Linked DNA regions of Xenopus tropicalis. The protein of the gene in region 1 interacts with the protein of each later gene in a pairwise test. Links are inferred from orthologs where the notes say so. Each region holds a gene or a part of one and is shown on either strand. Other genes may lie near its edges. The genes, in order: rin1 and rras2.

Region 1 (3,815 bases):
CTGGACTAATGGATTTTAAAAGGAAGTTGAATGTGTACCAGGAAAAAGCTGCCCAAGGGAGGCCTGCAGCATATAACCAAAAAAAGCTAAAACGCATTGCACTTAATGGTACTGGATGTTGTTCACCTTTATATTCACTTTTCACACACAATGATATTTGCACTTGGTCTTATTTTTTATTGTTTATTAATGTATTTATTTATTGCTGCAAGTTTGTTTTTGGATTATTTCGCTTTTTTTAATTAGTAGCTCTCAAGTTTAGAATTTCAGCAGCTATCTGGTTGCTAGGGCCCAATATACAGTACATCTATAAACTGTGATCTTTCTGTTCCTGCAGGATGACTGAACCGGTATATGATTTCCCATATCAGGAATCCTCTCCAACTCCAATCCGCAAGGGGTCGCCAACATCAGTCAGCATCACAGACAGACTGCTACTCACCCAAAGTGTTTGGCTCCACCGCACAGTCAACTCGGCAACTGCACTGCATATATTGCAAAGGGAGCCTCCAGGGGTAGGTAATTTACAGAAATAGATGTTAAAGGGGCTGCTTTAAGGTATTTGAGATACCAGGAATAAATAAAGTAGTCCCGAACTCACCACAGTCGAGGGGAGGCTCAGGTGCACCGCCTAAGCCCTACCTAGGGGCGCAGAAACAACCGTATGGGTGAGAGCAAGCACTCAATGAGCAGTCCTATAAACAGGCATGTAAAAATCAAAGTTGAAATCTATTTAAGTACAAAATAGTGGTTGAGTTACCAGGGATTGCACCCCTGCCCAAACCCCCTCAGGCCCTATTGGAACCTTGCGCATGTCCTGCATCCAGGCCCTACCAATAATAATTTCGTTAATCGTACAGAAAGAGGTACTTCAGACATATTTGTACCGAGAATAATATACAGAACCTGACTGAAAATTTGATATCTTCTTCATGATCAAACATGTCTTTATCTTACAGACATTCCTAGTGAGAAAGTCCAATACTCGCCAGAAGATGGTTTTATGTGTGAGACTGTCAGATGATTCTGGTCCAAGCTTCATTCATCAGGCATATATACACAAAAGCCCTGCAGGTAGGCATGTGGAACACTTAAATCAACAGTTCAGTGTAAAAATGAAACTGGGTAAAATGGATAGACATTGCAAAATAAAAAATATTTCTAATATAGTTAGTTAGGCAAAAATGTAATCTATTAAGGATGAAGTGACCAGATGTCTTATATGACCAGAACTTAGTTAGTCAGTGACTGGGGGCAGGGTCGGACTGGGCCGCCGGGACACCGGGAAAAATCCCGGTGGGCCCCAGCCCTAGTGGGCCCCGGAGGCCCAGTCCGACCTTTGCCGGCGCTCCCCCTACTGACGCGTTCAATTTATATGCGCTCGGGGAGGACGTCAGGTGGGGGCCCTGTGGGGGGGTTAGGGGGGCCCCTTGGGGGGTTAGGGGACGCGGCTGGGGCACCTGCGGGAGCCCCGGTGGGCCCTGCACCCCCCAGTCCGACCCTGACTGGGGGGGGCACGCTTGCTCCCCATTGGATGTTGCTCCCAGTGGTGTCAAACAGGTGCTTGAACCAGTTGTACTGCCAAACAGAGCCTCCTGTAGGTTGCAAGTCCACATAGGGGCTACCAAATAGCAAATCACAGTCCTTATTTGGCACCCACAGGAATATTTTTCATGTTTTTATCACTTCCCATTATTTTTTTTTTACATTTGAATAAGGCTTACTTGTAAAAACGGTTGGAGACCCCTGCAATTGAGGAGTAATACTAATAATAAAACCCACACACCTTACACATGTATAAATGAACAAGCACACATATAGACTTGGGCATGCATATTTCAGGTATACAGGAAATAATACACCAGCTAAAAGGTGTTCCAGTTCCATATAAAGGCCTGTTTTTATACATGTCATGGAACTGTGAGCTGACTTCTAATATCCTATAGGTACAATATTTTTATAATTCATAATCAGCCATGTGACACAAAACATCCGTAAGCATTGACTATAAATGGTAATATCACTAAGCACCATTTATAAGGATATTTCTTATATGTTAATCCTGGCTCTTTGTTATGTTGCAGAGAAAAATACACCTACCTTTAAAGCATGACTCATAAATAAACATTACTTATGCATTTTCGTGACCTGTGATGATGTATCTAATTAAATGCATTGTTTTCTATCTCTGTAGGCATTTATCTGGAAGAGTCAGAGCTCACTTTCCCTGATCTGATAAGGCTTGTAGCTCACTACAGCAGTGAAAAGTGAGTCTGGGGAATGAGTTTCTCGTTTTCTTGCATTTATAATTAGGGGGAGCAATCACCGATGTTGTTTGGATAAACAGTATTTAGTAATGTTTAGTATAACAAAGAGTGCACCAGCCCATTATAATGACAAGTGTCCGCATTGATAAGTCATTGATAAATCATTTTATTAGACTATCATAATATATATCTAGAGGACCGATATCAGCAGCTGAAATTGGCTGTGTATGGCCACCTTGAGTCTGTTAGACTGCGGAGATTGACACGGGCTGCTGTGGGAAGCCTGAAGCTACCAACTGGTTTGGTTTTCCTACACCAATACATGCAACTGCCTGCAATTCAGAACAGGAAGCAGGAGGAAGGCAACAGCACTAAGCACAACTATACAGAAGCACAAGGAGCACTTGTTGGCTGACTACCTTTAATAAATGTTTTTTTTTGTGGGAAACTTACTGCACTTGGAATAATAAGAGACTCCTATTATTGTTTTTCAAACTTTCAGACTGGGGATTTACAGAAACAGTTCAGTGTAAAAATAAAACCAGGCAAATAAAAAATGTTTTCAATATAGTTATTTAGCCAAAAATGTAATCTATAAAGGTTGGAGTGAGCAGATTTTTAACGTAATAGCCAGAACATAACTCTTCCTTTGCATCTCTCTAACCTGTTAGTCAGCGACTTGATTTTTTTTTTGGTCCTGAACACACAGGTCAGATTGAAAAAACACCTAACTTAAATATTTGAATCAGGTATTGCTAACATACACAACAGAACTCCCACATGGGGGTCAGAATTAAAGATCCAATAATGGTTATAGAAGTTAAAGCAATAGCAAGTGTGTGTGCTGCCATAGCAAATGCACAATGTAAATCCTGTGTTTACTATAAAGTGTAGACTAGTATAAAATACAAAGCCCACTATATGATGGCTAAGACTTTAGTGAAGTCTGCCAAGGCACTAGTCTTTTTGGTGCATTCTATGTTAGACAGCATGCCAAGTTGATAAATGAATTTTTATTCAGCATACATGCTTTGGCCCAACATGCTACCATGAGAAAAATGTTGGATTAAGCAAGTCTGCTGAATAATAACTTATCTGCCTGGGTCTGGAGTGTTTGCTTATAAATAAGGGAAGGATATGTGCCACTCCTCTCTACAGATGCCCAGAACACAAGTCATTTTCAATGAGTCTTGATGTAGCCTTTACCTATTTTGTGTGGATACTAATGATTTTGTTGCATAGCACTTCCATTTTACTTTTCTTTGTTACCATATAACTTTGCTACTATATAACTATATAACTTTTGTACAATTCAAGTACATTATTTACCCTGTATCCTATTTCTTTTCTTTATATTTTTTAAATTCTTTTTACTATCTTTGTATTTCCTATGTGCACCTCATTCGCTTCTTTATTCTGACAGGGATGTTCTGCCATATACACTCAGACTTCCTGCAGCCATAGAAAAAGTACCTTCCAGAAAGCAATTAGAAGCCATTTCTCACCTGGGCCTTGGTAAGTGACAAGGATCATGACAATGATTGTGAC
Region 2 (3,815 bases), about 35 Mb from region 1:
GCAGCGCGATTGGATAGTGAGTATAAGCTACGCCCCCCTGCTGTACTGTCTGTGGCAGCCCCAGTAGAGGGGCAGGGATGGGTTTGCAGAGGATGCTGGGATATTTATGTACCATCTCCTTTGTTCTTTTCCAGTTCTGGACACTGCGGGGCAGGAGGAGTTCGGGGCAATGAGGGAGCAGTACATGAGGACAGGAGAGGGGTTCCTGCTGGTATTTTCGGTCACAGACAGGGGAAGGTGAGACAGATTGCACCTCGTTATTCTTTCAGTTGCTGCTTCCTGGGTCTTGTACAGGTTCTGAGGGTGCTACATCCCTACACATCCATGGTGGGTCTTGGGATACAGAAGTGTATGAGCAGGAATAAAATGGGAAGGGGATACTAGGGTGCAGGAGTGAGAGGGGAGGGGATACTAGGGTGCAGGAGTGAGAGGGGAGGGGATACTAGGGTGCAGGAGTGAGAGGGGAGGGGATACTAGGGTGCAGGAGTGAGAGGGGAGGGGATAGTAGGGTGCAGGAGTGAGAGGGGAGGGGATACTAGGGTGCAGGAGTGAGAGGGGAGGGGATAGTAGGGTGCAGGAGTGAGAGGGGAGGGGATAGTAGGGTGCAGGAGTGAGAGGGGAGGGGATAGTAGGGTGCAGGAGTGAGAGGGGAGGGGATAGTAGGGTGCAGGAGTGAGAGGGGAGGGGATACTAGGGTGCAGGAGTGAGAGGGGAGGGGATACTAGGGTGCAGGAGTGAGAGGGGAGGGGATAGTAGGGTGCAGGAGTGAGAGGGGAGGGGATAGTAGGGTGCAGGAGTGAGAGGGGAGGGGATAGTAGGGTGCAGGAGTGAGAGGGGAGGGGATAGTAGGGTGCAGGAGTGAGAGGGGAGGGGATACTAGGGTGCAGGAGTGAGAGGGGAGGGGATACTAGGGTGCAGGAGTGAGAGGGGAGGGGATAGTAGGGTGCAGGAGTGAGAGGGGAGGGGATACTAGGGTGCAGGAGTGAGAGGGGAGGGGATAGTAGGGTGCAGGAGTGAGAGGGGAGGGGATAGTAGGGTGCAGGAGTGAGAGGGGAGGGGATAGTAGGGTGCAGGAGTGAGAGGGGAGGGGATAGTAGGGTGCAGGAGTGAGAGGGGAGGGGATACTAGGGTGCAGGAGTGAGAGGGGAGGGGATACTAGGTGCAGGAGTGAGAGGGGAGGGGATAGTAGGGTGCAGGAGTGAGAGGGGAGGGGATACTAGGGTGCAGGAGTGAGAGGGGAGGGGATACTAGGGTGCAGGAGTGAGAGGGGAGGGGATACTAGGGTGCAGGAGTGAGAGGGGAGGGGATAGTAGGGTGCAGGAGTGAGAGGGGAGGGGATAGTAGGGTGCAGGAGTGAGAGGGGAGGGGATAGTAGGGTGCAGGAGTGAGAGGGGAGGGGATAGTAGGGTGCAGGAGTGAGAGGGGAGGGGATACTAGGGTGCAGGAGTGAGAGGGGAGGGGATACTAGGGTGCAGGAGTGAGAGGGGAGGGGATAGTAGGGTGCAGGAGTGAGAGGGGAGGGGATACTAGGGTGCAGGAGTGAGAGGGGAGGGGATAGTAGGGTGCAGGAGTGAGAGGGGAGGGGATAGTAGGGTGCAGGAGTGAGAGGGGAGGGGATAGTAGGGTGCAGGAGTGAGAGGGGAGGGGATACTAGGGTGCAGGAGTGAGAGGGGAGGGGATACTAGGGTGCAGGAGTGAGAGGGGAGGGGATAGTAGGGTGCAGGAGTGAGAGGGGAGGGGATAGTAGGGTGCAGGAGTGAGAGGGGAGGGGATACTAGGGTGCAGGAGTGAGAGGGGAGGGGATAGTAGGGTGCAGGAGTGAGAGGGGAGGGGATACTAGGGTGCAGGAGTGAGAGGGGAGGGGATACTAGGGTGCAGGAGTGAGAGGGGAGGGGATACTGGGGTGCAGGAGTGAGAGGGGAGGGGATACTGGGGTGCAGGAGTGAGAGGGGATACTGGGGTGCAGGAGTGAGAGGGGAGGGGATACTGGGGTGCAGGAGTGAGAGGGGAGGGGATACTAGGGTGCAGGAGTGAGAGGGGAGGGGATACTAGGGTGCAGGAGTGAGAGGGGAGGGGATACTAGGGTGCAGGAGTGAGAGGGGAGGGGATACTAGGGTGCAGGAGTGAGAGGGGAGGGGATACTAGGGTGCAGGAGTGAGAGGGGAGGGGATACTAGGGTGCAGGAGTGAGAGGGGAGGGGATACTAGGGTGCAGGAGTGAGAGGGGAGGGGATACTGGGTGCAGGAGTGAGAGGGGAGGGGATACTGGGGTGCAGGAGTGAGAGGGGATACTGGGGTGCAGGAGTGAGAGGGGAGGGGATACTGGGGTGCAGGAGTGAGAGGGGAGGGGATACTAGGGTGCAGGAGTGAGAGGGGAGGGGATACTAGGGTGCAGGAGTGAGAGGGAGGGGATACTAGGGTGCAGGAGTGAGAGGGGAGGGGATACTAGGGTGCAGGAGTGAGAGGGAGGGGATACTAGGGTGCAGGAGTGAGAGGGGAGGGGATACTAGGGTGCAGGAGTGAGAGGGGAGGGGATACTAGGGTGCAGGAGTGAGAGGGGAGGGGATACTAGGGTGCAGGAGTGAGAGGGGAGGGGATACTAGGGTGCAGGAGTGAGAGGGGAGGGGATACTAGGGTGCAGGAGTGAGAGGGGAGGGGATAGTAGGGTGCAGGAGTGAGAGGGGAGGGGATACTAGGGTGCAGGAGTGAGAGGGGAGGGGATACTAGGGTGCAGGAGTGAGAGGGGAGGGGATAGTAGGGTGCAGGAGTGAGAGGGGAGGGGATACTAGGGTGCAGGAGTGAGAGGGAGGGGATACTAGGGTGCAGGAGTGAGAGGGGAGGGGATACTAGGGTGCAGGAGTGAGAGGGGAGGGGATACTAGGGTGCAGGAGTGAGAGGGGAGGGGATAGTAGGGGGGGGGGGTAGGGTGCAGGAGTGACAGGGGAGGGGATACTAGGGTGCAGGAGTGAGAGGGGAGGGGATACTAGGGTGCAGGAGTGAGAGGGGAGGGGATAGTAGGGTGCAGGAGTGAGAGGGGAGGGGATACTAGGGTGCAGGAGTGAGAGGGGAGGGGATAGTAGGGTGCAGGAGTGAGAGGGGAGGGGATACTAGGGTGCAGGAGTGAGAGGGGGAGGGAATTTTTATTCTGTTTCTAATTTTTTTTTTTGTAGTTTTGAAGAAATCTACAAATTCCAAAGACAGATCCTGCGGGTAAAGGACCGGGATGAATTTCCCATGATTCTGGTTGGTAACAAGGCTGACTTGGAGCACCAGAGGCAGGTAAGTAGTTATGGCGGGGGGGGCAGTGGGGGTAAATGATAGAGGAGGTGTTGGCTGTGATTAAACTCATCTTTTGGGATGTTCCAGGTAACGCGGGAGGAGGGGCAGCAGTTGGCGCGGCAGCTGAAAGTCACCTACATGGAGGCTTCGGCCAAAATCAGAATGAATGTAGACCAAGCATTTCATGAACTTGTTAGAGTTGTAAGGTGAGTGGCGCCATCTTTACTCTGTGTGTTATACATATGGGTAGGGGGTGCCATAGTGTTCCCCTTAGACAGTACAGTATGGGGGTACAGCTTATTGTGTGCCCAGAACATTCCTTCTCTGTATATTTGTATTTATACATATGGGTAGGGGGTGCCATAGTGTTTCCCTTAGACAGTACAGTATGGGGGTACAGCTTATTGTGTGCCCAGAACATTCCCTCTCTGTATATTTGTATTTATACATATGGGTAGGGGGTGCCATAGTGTTTCCCTTAGACAGTACAGTATGGGGGTACAGCTTATTGTGTGCCCAGAACATTCCCTCTCTGTA

Evidence for each region.
Region 2: the proteins of rin1 (region 1) and rras2 interact in binary tests that used the Homo sapiens proteins (3 or more experiments, as listed by UniProt). The link is inferred for Xenopus tropicalis from reciprocal best matches to the Homo sapiens genes RIN1 and RRAS2.

Annotation. Positions count from the first base shown.
Region 1 is NC_030680.2:38,274,470-38,278,284, forward strand, and holds part of rin1 (ras and Rab interactor 1), read left to right. Parts: intron 1-337; coding exon 338-515; intron 516-959; coding exon 960-1,074; intron 1,075-2,194; coding exon 2,195-2,267; intron 2,268-3,690; coding exon 3,691-3,782; intron 3,783-3,815. UniProt on the Homo sapiens protein: Ras effector protein, which may serve as an inhibitory modulator of neuronal plasticity in aversive memory formation. Can affect Ras signaling at different levels. First, by competing with RAF1 protein for binding to activated Ras.
Region 2 is NC_030680.2:3,481,825-3,485,639, forward strand, and holds part of rras2 (ras-related protein R-Ras2), read left to right. Parts: coding exon 1-16; intron 17-134; coding exon 135-237; intron 238-3,169; coding exon 3,170-3,278; intron 3,279-3,365; coding exon 3,366-3,484; intron 3,485-3,815. UniProt on the Homo sapiens protein: GTP-binding protein with GTPase activity, involved in the regulation of MAPK signaling pathway and thereby controlling multiple cellular processes. Regulates craniofacial development.